Lytechinus pictus: one gene and its partner. The protein of the gene in region 2 interacts with the protein of the main gene of each other region in a biochemical or structural test. Links are inferred from orthologs where the notes say so. Each region holds a gene or a part of one and is shown on either strand. Other genes may lie near its edges.

What was found.
Region 1: the proteins of ubiquitin carboxyl-terminal hydrolase 8-like (region 2) and signal transducing adapter molecule 1-like form a complex in vitro, tested with the Homo sapiens proteins (2 studies listed by BioGRID). The link is inferred for Lytechinus pictus from reciprocal best matches to the Homo sapiens genes USP8 and STAM.

What each region holds. Positions count from the first base shown.
Region 1 is NC_087245.1:5,553,292-5,561,126, forward strand, and holds the start of signal transducing adapter molecule 1-like, read left to right. Parts: upstream 1-4,748; 5' UTR 4,749-4,860; intron 4,861-6,490; 5' UTR 6,491-6,515; coding exon 6,516-6,566; intron 6,567-7,835. UniProt on the Homo sapiens protein: Involved in intracellular signal transduction mediated by cytokines and growth factors. Upon IL-2 and GM-CSL stimulation, it plays a role in signaling leading to DNA synthesis and MYC induction. May also play a role in T-cell development.
Region 2 is NC_087247.1:24,369,103-24,376,993, reverse strand, and holds the start of ubiquitin carboxyl-terminal hydrolase 8-like, read right to left. Parts: upstream 3,054-7,891; 5' UTR 2,916-3,053; coding exon 2,815-2,915; intron 2,471-2,814; coding exon 2,326-2,470; intron 1,968-2,325; coding exon 1,882-1,967; intron 262-1,881; coding exon 104-261; intron 1-103. UniProt on the Homo sapiens protein: Hydrolase that can remove conjugated ubiquitin from proteins and therefore plays an important regulatory role at the level of protein turnover by preventing degradation. Converts both 'Lys-48' an 'Lys-63'-linked ubiquitin chains.

The DNA of each region.
Region 1 (7,835 bases), on a different chromosome or scaffold from region 2:
CTCTTTTCATTCTCTCCTTCCTCTCTTTTATCATTTATTCTTTCTTTATTTTCTTTTTTTTCCTTTTTGCTTTTCCCTTCCTTCCTGTCTTCTTTCTTTTTCTCAAAGAATGAAGGAAACATTTTTCTTTCCTTCCTTCATTCCTTCATTCATCCTCAGTCTTTTTCTTACCTTCTTTTTTTCTTTCTCTTTATTTCTTTCAAACATTCATTCATCATCCCTTCCTTTCTTTTTCTTTTTAAGAATGAAGGAACCTTTTTTTTCCTTTCCTTTATTATTTCTTTCATCCTTCTTTTATTCTAACTTTCTTTTCACTGTTTTTTTTCCCTTCATTTTCTTTACTTCATTATTCCCCTACATTTTTTCTTTCTTCTCCATTCATCTCTTTTCTTTCTCTCCTTCATTCTTTATTTCACCCATTTGTTCACCCTCCCTTCCTTTCCTTTTCTTTCTTTATATTTTTATTTCTCTCTTCATTTCTTTTATAATTAATTTCAGTGATTCCTTTTTTATTTTGTGCCACGGTCACAAAAGTACATGAAAATATATGAGAGAGGAAATCATTCAAATGGCATATCAACACACTAATTTTGGTCATGGCCGGCAAGATAAAATCACTTTGAAAAAAAAAATATAATTTTACAAATACAAGGTACATCAGTTCATGTTAAAAACAGGAAAAAGGCAATGGTACATGTCCATAGAAGAGCAATTCTTTCCTTTAAACGGTAATATCCTGTTTTGAAATATTTTTTGGGGGGCAAGTGAAATATATATTCGGGCAAGTATTGTCCAACTATTTAGAAATAAAAAGATGTTATGTAGCACCCTGTACAAGTTTTAATACATTTGACATCTAAAAAAAAGGATACCGAAAAAAAAAGGCCTTTGATGCCCTTCTTGGAAAAAGATTTTGGCCTTGGTGCCCTTTGAAGTGGCCTTGGTGCCCTAAAAAATATGAGGTATTTCAAGGCCAAACTGGCCTTGCCCTAAAAATGACAAAATTTAAGGCCTGGTATCGATAGCGATAACGATATCCGGTCACATTGTCTACGCGGGAAATGGTCTTGGTTCGTGATCGGATCACTCCAGTATCGATTGAAAATTATCGAAACTCTGCAATTTCATGCATATTCACGCGACGCTCTGAAACCCGGAAATCCATTGACTTTGTGCACGTTGCGATAGACTGTACAGACTCCAACGAACACGATGCCATATCGACGCTGATTCGTAAGATTTTGACGGAAACGCAAGAAGTAATCGAAATTTGCTTACCTGTGCGGTATCGGTGAGAAAATAGATCCTCCGAGAATACCTTTCATAATTCATATAGAATATAGGAAAGTGAAATTCTAGGTCGATTTTGGTACGAAGTGATAGAGAATTGCACACTTGTTTTGGTGGAATACTGTGTGGGGGAATGGAAGGATTGCACTGCGCATGCTTACTATATTTTCATTCATAAATTGTCTCTCGGCAGTGGTTGGATGACGTCATTTTATTAATAAGCAAAATGTACGCGCCCGCTAGCGTTGAACGCTCCGCTATCCGTTTTACACAATTTGCCGATGTGACTCGTTAATGAACAAGGTTATAACTATGGGCTTGGCCTTGAAAAAAAATACTTGCGTCAGCTGATATCATGAGTCGTAAAATACTATGAAGTGATTTCACGATATTTATCGGCCGACGCAAGTATTCTTTTAAATCTAAGTTGGCACTGCTCATGATATTGTCACCCTCTATACGCGTCTAGTATCTTTGGCTACGATAGCAAAGATGGCAAGATGGCGACAATAACATATATGTAAGTAAACGCTCCTCTACTTTTAATATTTTGATGTATTCAAGCGTTATCTTATGACAGGCGCGTAGCCAGGGGGGCAGTGGGGGCGGTCGCCCCCCCAAAAAAAAAAAAAAAGAAGAGGAAAAGGAAAAAAAGAAAAAGCAAAAGGAGAAAAGGGAAGAAAGGTATAGCTTTTGTTGTTTTTTCCTTCTTTTTTGGTCAAAAGAATAACCTAAACGAGACGTTCTCTCTTCATGCTATAAATTTGCTTCCGCGCTCCTCGCGGGAAAAATATCAAAATTGCCATTCCCTTTTGTTTCCCACACCTTTTCTCTACTCCGTTTTCCCCCTTCCCGGCCGTGGAAATCGTATATTATTGCCAGAAATTATAAGTATACATGGGTGTAGAGTATGAAAAGTATTTTTTTTATATATTGCATTGATACAAAATTTTGGCTCTTCTGTTCGGAGCGGGTAAACATTACTGTCACTACCGAGTCCCCAAATGATTTTTTCTTCCGCTTTTCAGCAAGTAATTTTTGGCAAAGTGTCTGCTCCAAGGGAGAGGAAATAAATTCGTGCCGTGCTAGTTGCCATAGTATGAACGATATTAAGCTTTATTCTATATCGCTGCACATCCGTCTCCTGCCTTGTTTTGCGTCATTGAATTGAAATTTTGAATATCACTGAACTTTCTTAATAAAAAAAAGGAGGCGCTTAATACGAGCGAAATTTTTTTCTTCCAAAATAAATCACAGAGGTTTCCGTGCTTCGCGAGCATGGGAAAGGAAATGTCCCTCCTCTAGCTTGCATCATCCCTTTCACATTTTGAGCTCGTTTTTCTTCATAAATGAGCTATATATATAATCTAAGAAATATCAAAATTAGAACAGGTTAAAGTTTCAGATAAATTTCAAAAAATCAAAGCGTTTGCCTTTAGCAGGAAGGAATAGGGCCTATTTTCTTCTGTATATACCCATTTTCTACTCTGTTTTGCGACTTGAGTTAACAAAATTTAATGTTGATAAACCTTTTACACTCAAATCTGATGTGACCAAGATAGGCATATCATTTATGTTCTCTATTTTTATAAAACGTTTTAAGCTTCAAAGAGGAATTATTTCAAATTCTCCAATCTTTCCCCATTTTGGGGGGAGCTCATAATTTCTTTCGAAAACAATTTTTTTTAATCACAGCAACTCTATTTGAGTTGATAAGGGTACTAGAGATGCAAGAGACGCCTTCTTTTGATTTGAATTTGATGAGATATCAAAAACTTCACGCTCCGCGCGGGAGGGGGGAAACTCCCCCTCCCTGCACCCTCCCCCCTAGAGAGCGCACCACTTGGCATGCACTTACCACCCCCTCAAAATTTAAATCCTGGCTACGCGGTTGTCTTATGACAAAAACTGACAATTTTTTGTCAAAAGTTGCCAACCAATATTGTTGCCAATTTACATAAGTTGGGCTCAAACCCCTAAGGATAACTCGTATTTTGGCGCAACATTATTGTTGCCGAATTCGTCGGTGCGTGTAGAGCAATGGCATGCCGTCCCAGGCTTCATGGAGAGTAAGCCTTCGTCAGTAAAATGACTTTTGCTCTCCTGGGGCTCGTTTCTCAACACCGTCATAAGTCTAACTTCTTGACTAAATCGGAGATAGTGAGCTACTTGTCCGCTAACCGTTTCACGAAGCCCTCTTTACCAAGATCGGGTACAACAACCTCACTAAACACCTCCGAACTTGTCTTAACTTCTTTCTCAATGACGTAGTGGCATTACGTGGGTAGACTATGACATGCGAAAGTGCCTGGAAATTTTGAAATTATAATCTTACGTAATCAATCATAGTCATTGAATGCATTAACCCACTTGTTTTGTGATGTTATTTCAACCACTATGATAGTGGTTGAAATAACATCACAAAACAAGTGGGTTAATGCATTCAATGATAATTGTAATACAAAGAAACTATAAAAACTGTTGGTAAACGCCACAAAACCATTCATTTTGAAATAGTAAAACGATTTAATCGATAAAGATTCTACCACGTCAGGCCATCCATAACTGAACTCGTATTTGTTGTTTTCAGACCCCTATTAACAATTGGATGAATTCTATCTCTAATTTATGCATATAATTTGTCCAATTCATCATAATATTTGCAATTTTGTCATAATTTTTCTTTTTGAAAATTATGCTATTTTGTGACTAAGGCTACGTCTCGTCTGCTCTTTTTACCGATAGTATCGATATCAAGGTATTCTAGTTAGAAGCCTTTCGAGAAACAGGTTTAGTAAGATTGGAACTAACTCCGTGGTTGGTGGATAAAGATATGACTAACTTGTCCATGTGTTGAGAAACGGGCCCCAGAAGCCTCCAGGCTACTTACTAGCCACAAAACACGATCTCACCCCCACTTCGCTATAATCATGACAATACAAACTGCATGACTTCACTTGACTTCATTTGATCGAATCAAGAACGCCACTAGCGCAAGCTTTATTTTAGCGAAGTACCAACTAACGTAGAAGGCAGCACACGACTGTGTGTTGCTGCCCTCTACATTCGAAGATGTACAGCACGATATCAAAATGTCGGATAGGCGAAAGATGTTGACTGCTCAAAACGATGTCCAAAAAGCCCAAAACTTATCGATAAAACTTCATCCAACCCTAAAATAATGCAAATAACGTGAAAGGTGAGGATGTATTTATGCTAAATATGTTTGTGTAAAAATGTTATGTAACCATTTACATCCGAAGAATGCGGATTTTAAAGTGTTCTTGGTACAGTGGCAGATACAAATTTTGACCAACGCGAGTATGTGACATCGCTATAATGGATAAAAAATACGTATTGATTATTTTCTTTTGTCGATAGTTATCGATATCGGTAAGATATTTTTAGTGCGATATCGACAGAGAATTTTCCTAATGATAACAGCCCTAATAAGCATATTATATTTGTTTATTGTCTTATTTCAGATAAAGTGACAAGTGAATCTAATACTGCAGAGGACTGGGGACTTATTCTTGACATCTGTGACAGAATTAAGGCAAATTCTAATGCGTAAGTATTATCTAAAATCAAAGTATTAACAAATGTAATGACTGGATTGCTTATAGCACATTAATGAAATTTAAATGTTGAATTTGATATTATAGTGGCTTATTCCACCCAGGTGAAACCAAACAAACGTTATATTTATTCCTTTTCCCAAAGCTCTCCAAAGATGAAAATACCTGCAGCTGAGGTGGAAAATTGTCTTCAATGGTGTAGCGATTAAGTACTCGCGGCACACCTGGTTCAAGACATTTGTAGAAATTGATGTTAAAGGCTGAAAGTAATCCAATTTTGATTGACCTCAATGCCCCTCTTATTGGCCTTAACCCTATCTAGGCCGGGGTATTTTGGGAGTTCATATGGCCGGGGGGGCCTCCCAGGCCCCCCCTTGAGATCTTGGCTGTCGACCGCGCGATCGCACCGAAAATTGGCATGCGGGTTGTCTAGGACATAATCTACAAAATTGTATAGTAATTTATTTCATGCGAATTATTATTAATGCGTAATTAGTATGCAAAATCTTACTTTTCCCTCTAACTCCCCAAATAAAGCTCCAAATGTTCTACTTTTTGGTATAGAAACTCTATGGTGTTCTGAGCAAGTGTACTTGAAAAAAATTGCGATATCAAATCATTTTCTTATGTATTATATTGTTTTTTGCAATTTCTTATGTATTTCTCTGTTTTTTTACCTTTTGTTTTTCATTGTTTTTTCAATGAAATTTGTTGGGGACTCTTCTGAGATCATAAAAGCATAAAATAAATACATTTAGACCAGCAAAACTAATAACAATCATACATTTATGAATTTTGGTTGAAAACACAATTTGCATTGATTTTGTACACAAAACCACGTTTTTGAGCAATTTTTGGTCTGACATGCTCTTACATAATGTTGCGTAATTTCGGAACCACGTACCCGGGTGAAGCAAAATTGGTCTCAAAAGTTGCGCAAGACTTGAAAGTAAAAAGTCAGTGAGCGGCACGTGAAAAAAATATCGCGCGATTCATTGAGGGGGGGGCCTCTGAGGCCCCCCCCCCCGGCCTAGATAGGGTTAAAGATTGTTGTGTCTTTTTTTCCCCTTTTTTTCTTTCTATTGTGCTGATATGTCATACTATACTTAAGTGGCCTTGCCCCCAAAATATTGAAAATTAAGGCCTGTGAGTTCACATATGATATACATGTAAGCCACTTTATTTTTCGTAAACTACATGTAAATGCAGTTATACAGTGGTTTTACATAGACATACATTTAGGCTAGAGATCATGTCTGCAAATCCATAAAGTAGAAAAAGTTTGATAAATTGACAAGAATACAAGAAGACTGACCTTAATTTGTATTGAGCAAAGCAAAAGTCTGTGCTTCATGTGTATTCAGGAGGAACATGCATAGCATCCTGGTTTCACAGTACAGTATTTTGTTTCTGCAGAATGAGGGGAGGGGGGTGGGGGAGATAAGCAAGTGTAGGAGGGAGAGCAGTACTGGTATTTAGACTCCACTAAAGACGTATTTCAGATTGCAATAAAATAAGCATTAAATATCAGTGCATTACATGTATGAAACCATGGAGAGTATTGATTTATGTTCACGTTTATGCTGTTAAAAAGAATTTAAACATAAATCTTTTATTCTCAGGCCAAAAGACGCTTTCAAGTCGATTATGAGGAGATTAAAGACCCCTAATCCACATGTCCAGTTGCAAAGTTTAGTGGTGAGTCAGTGTTCTATTCAGCACCTTTATGATTGAAGTTGAAAATGTCAAAATTAGAAACAAACAAATATCTACTTAACAACTGAATGTGAAAATAATCTTTTGATTATAATTCCACAGGGTGAAAATATGTTCGAAAAATTTATGAAATTCATCATAATTATACATTCATGTAAATTCTTCCTCTTACATCCCCAGTTATGGTAAGCTATTTTGGTATGTGGCTAGGAAGATTCTCTCAGGTCCCCTTAGCAAAATGGGGACACAAAATTAGGCTCCCATTGGTAGAAAATATAAGTTGTTACTTTGAGCGAAAAAATGTGGAAATGGAATACATATTTATTACATAGATTGTTACGTGTTTACACAAAATATATAAAAAGGCATCAAGTTACCAGAAAATGATGGAGTAGAAAAAGAATAAAGATAAAAATAGTAAGATAAAATGAAAATGGAAAACAAACAAAAAGACAGAGAGGGGGGGGGAGGGGTCAAGGGATAAATACTAGAGAGTATAAGAAAGAAAGAATAGAAAAACATAATTATAATTTAGTGTGTATGATACTAGCATGAATACCAGGAAGCCTATTTTGAAGTCAAAATATCAAAGGTCAAGGTCACAGTGACATGTTTTCATCTTACCCTTCTGAAGTCCTTGTAAATGCGATAACTTCATTTGAACTTAACCTAGGCTCATATAATTTAGTGTGTATGATACTAGTATGGATCCCAGGAAGCCTTTTGATTTTGAGATCAAAAGGTCAAGTTCACACTGACATGTTTTCATCTTACCCTTCTGGAGTCCTTGTAAACGCGATAACTTCATTTGAACTTAACCTAGGCTCATATAATTTAGTGTGTATGATACTAGTATGGATCCCAGGAAGCCTTTTGATTTTGAGATCAAAAGGTCAAAGGTCAAGTTCACACTGACATGTTTTCATCTTACCCTTCTGCAGTCCTTGTAAACGCGATAACTTTAGTTGAACTTGACCTAGGCTCATATAATATGGTGTGTATGATACTAGCATAGATCCTCGCAAGTCTAGATTGATTTTGAGATGAGAAGGTCAAAGATGAAGTTGCCATCTTCCACTTCTCTTGCTTGACGAATGACTCCATTTTCCGTGTTACAGACAGGCGTATTATGTGCTCGCCTTAACGACACTCTTGTTTTAAATAAATTCACAACTTTTAATGTATAAGGGCCTATTTCTTGGACGTAATCAAGTATCACTGACCATCTGGTATGAGTTTTGGGTCACATGA
Region 2 (7,891 bases):
TTGTTTTAATAGTACCTTTGATGTTTATATTAAACTCACAAAGAGTTTTAAGTGGGCTCTTTTGCTAATTGTAAGGGCTGTATTAATTTCATCTTTATCTTACCAAATTCTCTTTTCTTTTCCTCCTCTGGAACTCCATTCTCCACTGAACCTTCCTCTCCATCTTTGGACTTGCCATCCTTCAAACCATTTGTTTTCACTTTCTCCTTCTCCTCTTCTAGTTTCTTACTTGCTTCCTTTGCTTCCTCTAGCTCATTGTACCTGTGTAATACGATTAAAAATTAGGGAATTTGGAAATGATAACTTATTTATCATAATCATTATCCATCACTGCAGGAGCTCACTGTACATATGATTTGTTTAAGATGAAAATTCAAGGAATTTGAAAATGATTACCTTTTATAATTATTGGTCATTACTGTATGACTCATATTTTTTGCAAATAGATCTTTATCGTCGGAAGGCTTCTGCTGCATATTGGCATGTCTGTGATACATGTTCCCACCAATACGAGCTACCCTTGGTACACCGACAAATCAATGGGGTGCATGATGCATGCAGTGTCCAGATATATATGGGCAGTATAGCTACACTGTACTGTACACCATTGATATAGTAATTAAAATTTGACAAAATTGTGACAAGTGTGCTGCAAGGATATTTTGTATGGTGATAAATTTATGTTTTTGTTTTTTTCAATTTCAAATTTGTGAAAATCCCTCACATAAGAACAGGTTATACATATACAAACTTTCTACTTGCATTGCATAATGAAAATAAAGATATGACAGTGATAGCTCAAGATGCTTTTTGCACACATAATTTGGAGAAAATTTCAGGGAATTAAAAAAATATATAATTCTTACATAATCTATGAGAATTCAGGTATAAGATTGAAAGTTGTATTTTCCTCGAAATACAAAGATGTTATCCTTACAATGAGTAAACTAGCACTAATTGGTTCATACGTGATCTACAATGCAAAGAGTGAACCACAGTGGACCGACATGACACTTCTTCACTGACTCTCATTTTGAATTTCTCCAATATGATTGTTGTACATCTAAAGATAATTATTTGCTCATTTTTCCGTCAATATTATGCTGTTCAGATTATTATGGCGTAAGGGCTGATTCCTTTCCCCTTATACTTCACCCCCTCTCTACCTCTTTATCTATATTCTCTTCTCCCCTTTTCCTATTTCTTCTCTTCTTTCCAACCTATTCCAAACCATTTCCTTTCCATCAGCCCTTGCTTCCTCATTCTTCCCCATTCCAACCATTCTTGTTTCATTTATATATGCCAGACAGTAATATATCATATAATTTAATATATCACACCTGTTACATATACAAAATATAAACTCAAGATTAAGGCCTACCTATGTGAATTTACACTTTATCTGTTCATATATTCATAATTGCATAATTTATATATTTTTGTAATTCCATATGTTAGTACGATGACCTCATTTCAAAATAAGAACAACCTAAGTTAAACCACGGGATAGCACATCCCCTCCTTCCACCTTCTCACCACTTTAAGTATAAATTTTGCTATGAATTGAATTGACGCGTTTGATATGTAAATAATTATTATATCTTGTTTTATGTTTGTTTATGTCTATCTTTACTGTATTCAATTTATGTTGCCCCCTGTATTACGTTCGTTTAGAACTGGTAACCTGGGCCCATTATTGTGATTCCCTTTTTTATGAATAAAAGGTGAGTTATAAAAAAAAATATGCATACAGTAAACATACATATTTTGGGCTAAAACTAGTAAGCTGACATGTAATGTGAAGAACTAGAAATATTTCGTTCCAGAAAGAAAAATACTCCAAACACTCCCAATGATTAAGGAATCACATTGAATTCTCACCTCAAGGTCAATGATGCTGAGAGTTCCTCTGCCTTATCTATAGCCTTTCTGCATCCTGCCTTACCAATGAGAGTATCAATATAATCCTAGAAAAATAAATAAAAGAAACCTTAAAAATGATTTCAGTAGATATTATCCAGTCTTTGAAAAAAATGGTACATACATGTATAGAGTTTGTTAATATTTCAAATGCATATTTTTCTATGCCACATGTTAGTGAATTTTATAATGTAGAATACAAGGAAAGGCATGAGTAGTTGTTGAGATGGTAAATGCTTACTCACTTAATCAATGGTGCTTTGTCAGATTTAATGTCTTATCTCCTTTGCTCAAATATTTTGTTTATTTAAGAGACTCTCACTCCTCTATTAAAAAAACAAACAAAACTACTTGCTACAGAATTGGATACTTTCACCTATAATAACAGAGTCAACTTAAACTTACCTTGTTTGACTTATAATCTTTTGCCTTCTGAACAGCTTTCCATAGTGTGAGGTACTTCATGAACAGAACATAGGCACGTTCCTCATCAAGGTTTTTATCAGCTTTTTCTGCCTCAACGAATACCTTGTTAGCTGATCTGGCCAATCTGGTGTCAGAGTGAAACATAATATACTGCATATTTTTGTAGCAAAACCCAAATGATTCATGAAAATTATACATGTGACATATACTATACTTTTCATATAATAACATTTTCTGCAGTGGCATTTAATGAGACTGTCGTTTGGGTTAAAAAGCATGATTTCTGGGAAGTTGTGAGTTGACAAAGTGAACAAGCCCTAAAAACCCTATTTTCATGAACAATGAGCTTGATCATTGTTTGGGTACATCCATGTTATCTTATTGTAAATATATTTCTCAGGGCTAAAATGCCCAAAGTGATATATGTGAAGATTATCGATTAGCCCCAAATGTGAACTTATTACTCACATTTTTGAAGTTTGTCCCTTGGTTATGTTCTGGTCCACCTTCTTGTTGAGTTCCTCAATGGAGGAGCTGATGTAGAGAGGTTTCTTCAATGCTCCGGGCATGATTACCGGCTGCCTTCCTCAAAGTAACAAGCCTCACAAAAGAATGCAATTTAAGTAATTGGGACTAGCTATCTGGTCATAGAATCTTGAATCAGTCAGACTACATCTTCAAAGTAGCATCTAGACTCTATTAACATCTGTGAATTGAAAAAAGATAGAAACTTTGATATCTTTTTGCATCAGAAAATGGAGAAATACCTTTTAAATCCTGTCATAAAAGACTTCATTTATAATTCAAACATCATGACTGCAGATTCACAAAGATGCTGTTCACTAAATTCAATTTATTGCCAAACTATGATTGTCCATACAGGTAGTTTGCCTTGACAAGACAGCAATTTACAGAAGTTTACAAGCAATACATTGTATTCAATAAATAGTTCGGGAGACTGTCAGAAAATATTTAAAAGCAAAAACCTTTGCAATTATCTGTGCTTTTTATAAGTATATTTTGTAAAATCTCTTGATCTAGGGGATAAATTGTATGTTTTTGTCACAATCATTTATTACTGATTATTTATGGTATGTTCGTTGAGTGGTTACGCTTCCATCTTAGCCTGTGCAATGGAAAACAATTGCGCAGTTGATAGACTGATTGCTCGGCGAGAGAATCAAAACCATGATAGTTCCGCTACACGATCAAGCCGTTGATATTGGAACTGCTTTCCATGATAAAAGCCAGGATGGCGGCGAACTACTCGCTGCAAATATCCCCTCATTTTTTTCAAAAAACAAAATAGGACTAGCATTTTGGGAAAGAAAGTAAAATTTTGATGTAATCGTTTTGTCAAAATATTTTGAATTGTCATGTCGTACTTAGTTTTAAAAGGTAGTAGTAGAATTGGCCGGCGGGAAGGTGATTTTCAAGACATTGTTTACATAAGGCAAAGCCTCTCATAGCATGTGTACATGTATGACTTAATAGAGATGCAACTATATCTCTGCTCCAAAGAGACAGCAGAACTCACGCAGTATATATAGATCTGCATCGAGCCACCATTCCTTAACATTTTTCAATTATGGAAGAACTTTAGCGCATGTGTTTCCCATGCTCACTATGTCATCTGGTGTTTATTCAACAAAATTAACATCTGTAGCTAGTCTAGAATGTACATGTAGCACATGAATAGTAATTTTATTCATTACAGGGATTGTCTCTTTGTAGTCACATTTCCTTAATTTTCTTTCAGAAAATAATGATTTCGTTACTTTGGATGCTTGATTTGGGACTAAGAACCAGTTGGTTTATGTTCTTAAAATCAAGAATGACAGGGGCGAAAAAGCATCTAATCCATAACAGGTGGGGTAAGCCCTGCTGGTAGTATGCACTAGTGAGAGTCCTGCTGGTATGAGGGGGGGGGGGCATTTCTGTGCATCTAAAAATTGAACCTAAGAATAATTATGAATTTCTTTGAAATTTCAGAAAATTTTTAGTTGACATCGTTTCTTATAAAGCCAAAATCTCATAAAAAATTGAGCAAATATGTACTTCCAAATTTACAGATGGGGGGGGGGGGGGGGGGAAATGGTGCCACACATGTCTGCTCACCCATTCACATTAGACATTAATTTAAGAATTTTTATGAGAATGGCTGCATTTTGAGGCCATTAGAATTACACATGCAGGGTAAAGAGCCCAAATATTGGACAGTTCTAAATATCAAACAAAAATGATTTCAATTCCCTCTCTACAGCATGTGATACTATTAGTTACACCCTGCTTGTTCCCGTATTTCGTAAGAACAAGCAGGCCATAGCAGGGTGTAACAGTTTTATCTCTTTAAGGGTATCCTTATATTATTGCAGAATAAGGTACAATAGTACTAAAAAAACCCTGCATTTTGAGAGTGATATGAAAGGAAGTCATTTATGACATCACAATGATCACAGTAAAGAGAATGGGTATTTTGCAATTGAAATTGATGCGCAAATAGTAGTGCGTAGCGCAATGCTTGAATACACACATAATACGGTCTCATACTACGTGGTTGAAATCATCACTGGGTATGCGCATAACAAAATTAAAACAACAACAGCTAAACACGGGTGATATGGGCTCATATTACCTTTTTGATCTTTGTGACCAACAATAATAACAAACAAATCGACCAATCAGATTACAGAATTCATGAGAAAAATAGTCCACTAAGAGATAAATGAACATGTCTTCTATTGCACTGCACACACAGTAGACCCAGGTTGCTGCCCACAAAAATTATTCCAGGGGGTCATACATAGGCCTATAATCAAGGAGTGCAACTGTTTTTCGAACTGTAATTGTCTAAGAACTTTCTAAAAGATGCATCAATTTCTTTGAAATTAAATATGTTCATTAGTTATTACCAATACTAAAGTTAATTAACCCACTACAAATGTAATGAAAAGTACTAATTAAATATAAATACTAATTACCCATATTGATGAAAAACATTGGGTAACGCATGATTTTTCATTAAAGGACAAGTCCACCCCAACAAAAAGTTGATTGGAATAAAATGAAAAAATTTCATCAAAATCAGATGTAAAATACTGGTAAGAAATTTATTATATTCTAAAGTTTCGCTTAATTTCACAAAACAGTTATACATGTATGCATATCTTGATCGGTATGCGAATGAGGAGACTGATGACGTCATCCACTCACTATTTCTTTTGTAATTTATTATCTGAAATATGAAATATTCTTATTTTCTACTCATTGTCAAGTGAAACAACAATTAATTCCTCCCTGAACATGTGACATCCAACTCATAGGAGTGGTCTTTAATTTCAGACCTTAAAAATAACTTTTCAATCATTTTTAAAGGTCAAGTCCACCCCAGAAAAAGGTTGATTTGAATAAATAGAGAAAAATCAAACTAGCATGTAACACTGAAAATTTCATCAAAATCGGATGTAAAACAAGTCAGTTATGACATTTGAAAGCTTCGCTTATTATTCACAAAACAGTGATATATGCACAACTCGGTGAGATGCAAATGAGACAGATGATGATGTCCCTCCCTCACTATTTCTCATGTTCATTATGGTTTGAATTATACAATATTTCATTTTTCACAGATTTGATAATACAGATCAACTTGAATGAACCATATTAAACAATGCTAAACATTCCAATGATGCTTTTAACTACTTTGTAACCTTGAGTTAAAATGAGATGGAGCTATCATAATAGTGATTTGACCAAGTGACACTTGAAACTTTCAACCCTTGGTGTAGGGTTATCCCCCATCATTCCTTCATATTGAAGATGATCTACTCTTCATTTTGATTACAATGAGTACATTTTAATTGAAGATATAAATTTTGAAAAGTAGACAATTTCCTCAGGCTAAAAAGAAATAGATCGGACATTTTTCACCATTTATCAATGGTCATTCAAAAATATCAAAAAGTAAAAAAAAAATGTTCCTATACCCCTACATGTATCTTTATAAAATTGCACTGGTCAATGAATTTTTGTACATCAAGGGCTCTCACTTAACTTTGGTTGCTGGCTGGGCAACCTATAATACACTGTACACTACTAGTATATTATAGGTTGCCCGGCTGGCAACTATTAAAGGGGAAAAAAGGCCAAGTGGCCTATTACCCTGCAAAAACAAATAATAAAATTTGAAACTTGATAATTTATTTATTTATAATCAAGTTTTAAATTTTATTATTCGTTAAATAATAATTTCTATCTATAAATTGTTCTTCAAAACGGCATTTTGTAACATCGCTTATCGAAGGTTATGTCATAACGATGCGGTTCAAGGGTCAAGCCTATTGTATTTGCATTGTTTACAAATGGATTGAGGGATCTACATGTACACAAGATCGGTCTGGAAAGAAACCTCTAATTTACTATTAAAACTAACACACTTTTTACACCTTCATACGCAGTAGGCATATGAAGGTTCATAGATAAATAAAATAGACACTAACCGATTTCACCCTCTAAATATGGATTTCCTAGGGAAATCCATCCGGGTGTATAGGTGTCGCTTATGCATGTATGGAAATGGTTTCAAGGCTTCGAGATGAAGAAGTACCGGTATGTCAAAATGTCAACTATGTCAAAATATTAAAAAATATCATCACAAAGTCCTCAAGTCTAGTCGAATGCCAGGGCCCAGGCCCAGGCCACCCATGGGTTCATATCATCTCGCGTGCGAAGGAATATCAGTTATATGCACGCGACACACACGACCCATCCAAAATATACTGGGCTTTTGCCCACATAAAATATCACGCATAATCTGGTATTTCACATTCTGCTATGACACTTACCGAATCATTTAGATCCTTCCGTGACTTCTCCTTGAAGTTTCTTTAAAAAAATATGTATATTTTCTTGATCTTTAGTGAAGATTTCACGGAGATAAAAATTGGTCAGCGTGGATATCAATTTTCGCCTAAAGAGGGCGCGCGATTTATATTCATATCAAAGACACGACAAGGGAAAGACTTGGCACCTAATCTATTTTACACGCAAATCGACGCAAGGCATTACGCGAAGTCCGTGCAGTGTCCAATCTTTTCATTGTATTGGTATACCGTATTATTGGCGTTCGTTAAAGCTTGTACTGCTGGTTTCGTTCCAGGCATGTGTATTTTTTTCAATTTTTTTTTATTTGTCATCGTTTTAAATAATTTGCAAATAAGTGTTATCATCGCCAATAATAATCTTGAATTATGTTTTTGAAGGTATTTCAATTATTGGTGCCCATAATTAGCCAAATAATCATAAGAATTGCGCTTTCAAAGAATTTAGACACAGTTATAAAATTACCGAGGAGCTGAATCAAGGTTGTGAAATTTATTAGCGCCACCAATGGGCTTCCTTGTATTTCCGTAGAAGAGACAAGCGAAGTCACTTTCCAGGCCGAGGTAAGCGAATTTGCTCTTTTTGTACTATTATTATTTCCAAATAATGACTAAAATCTTTTTAGTGTATTGCTACTTACCGGAAAGAGCCCCGGTGGGTAGCG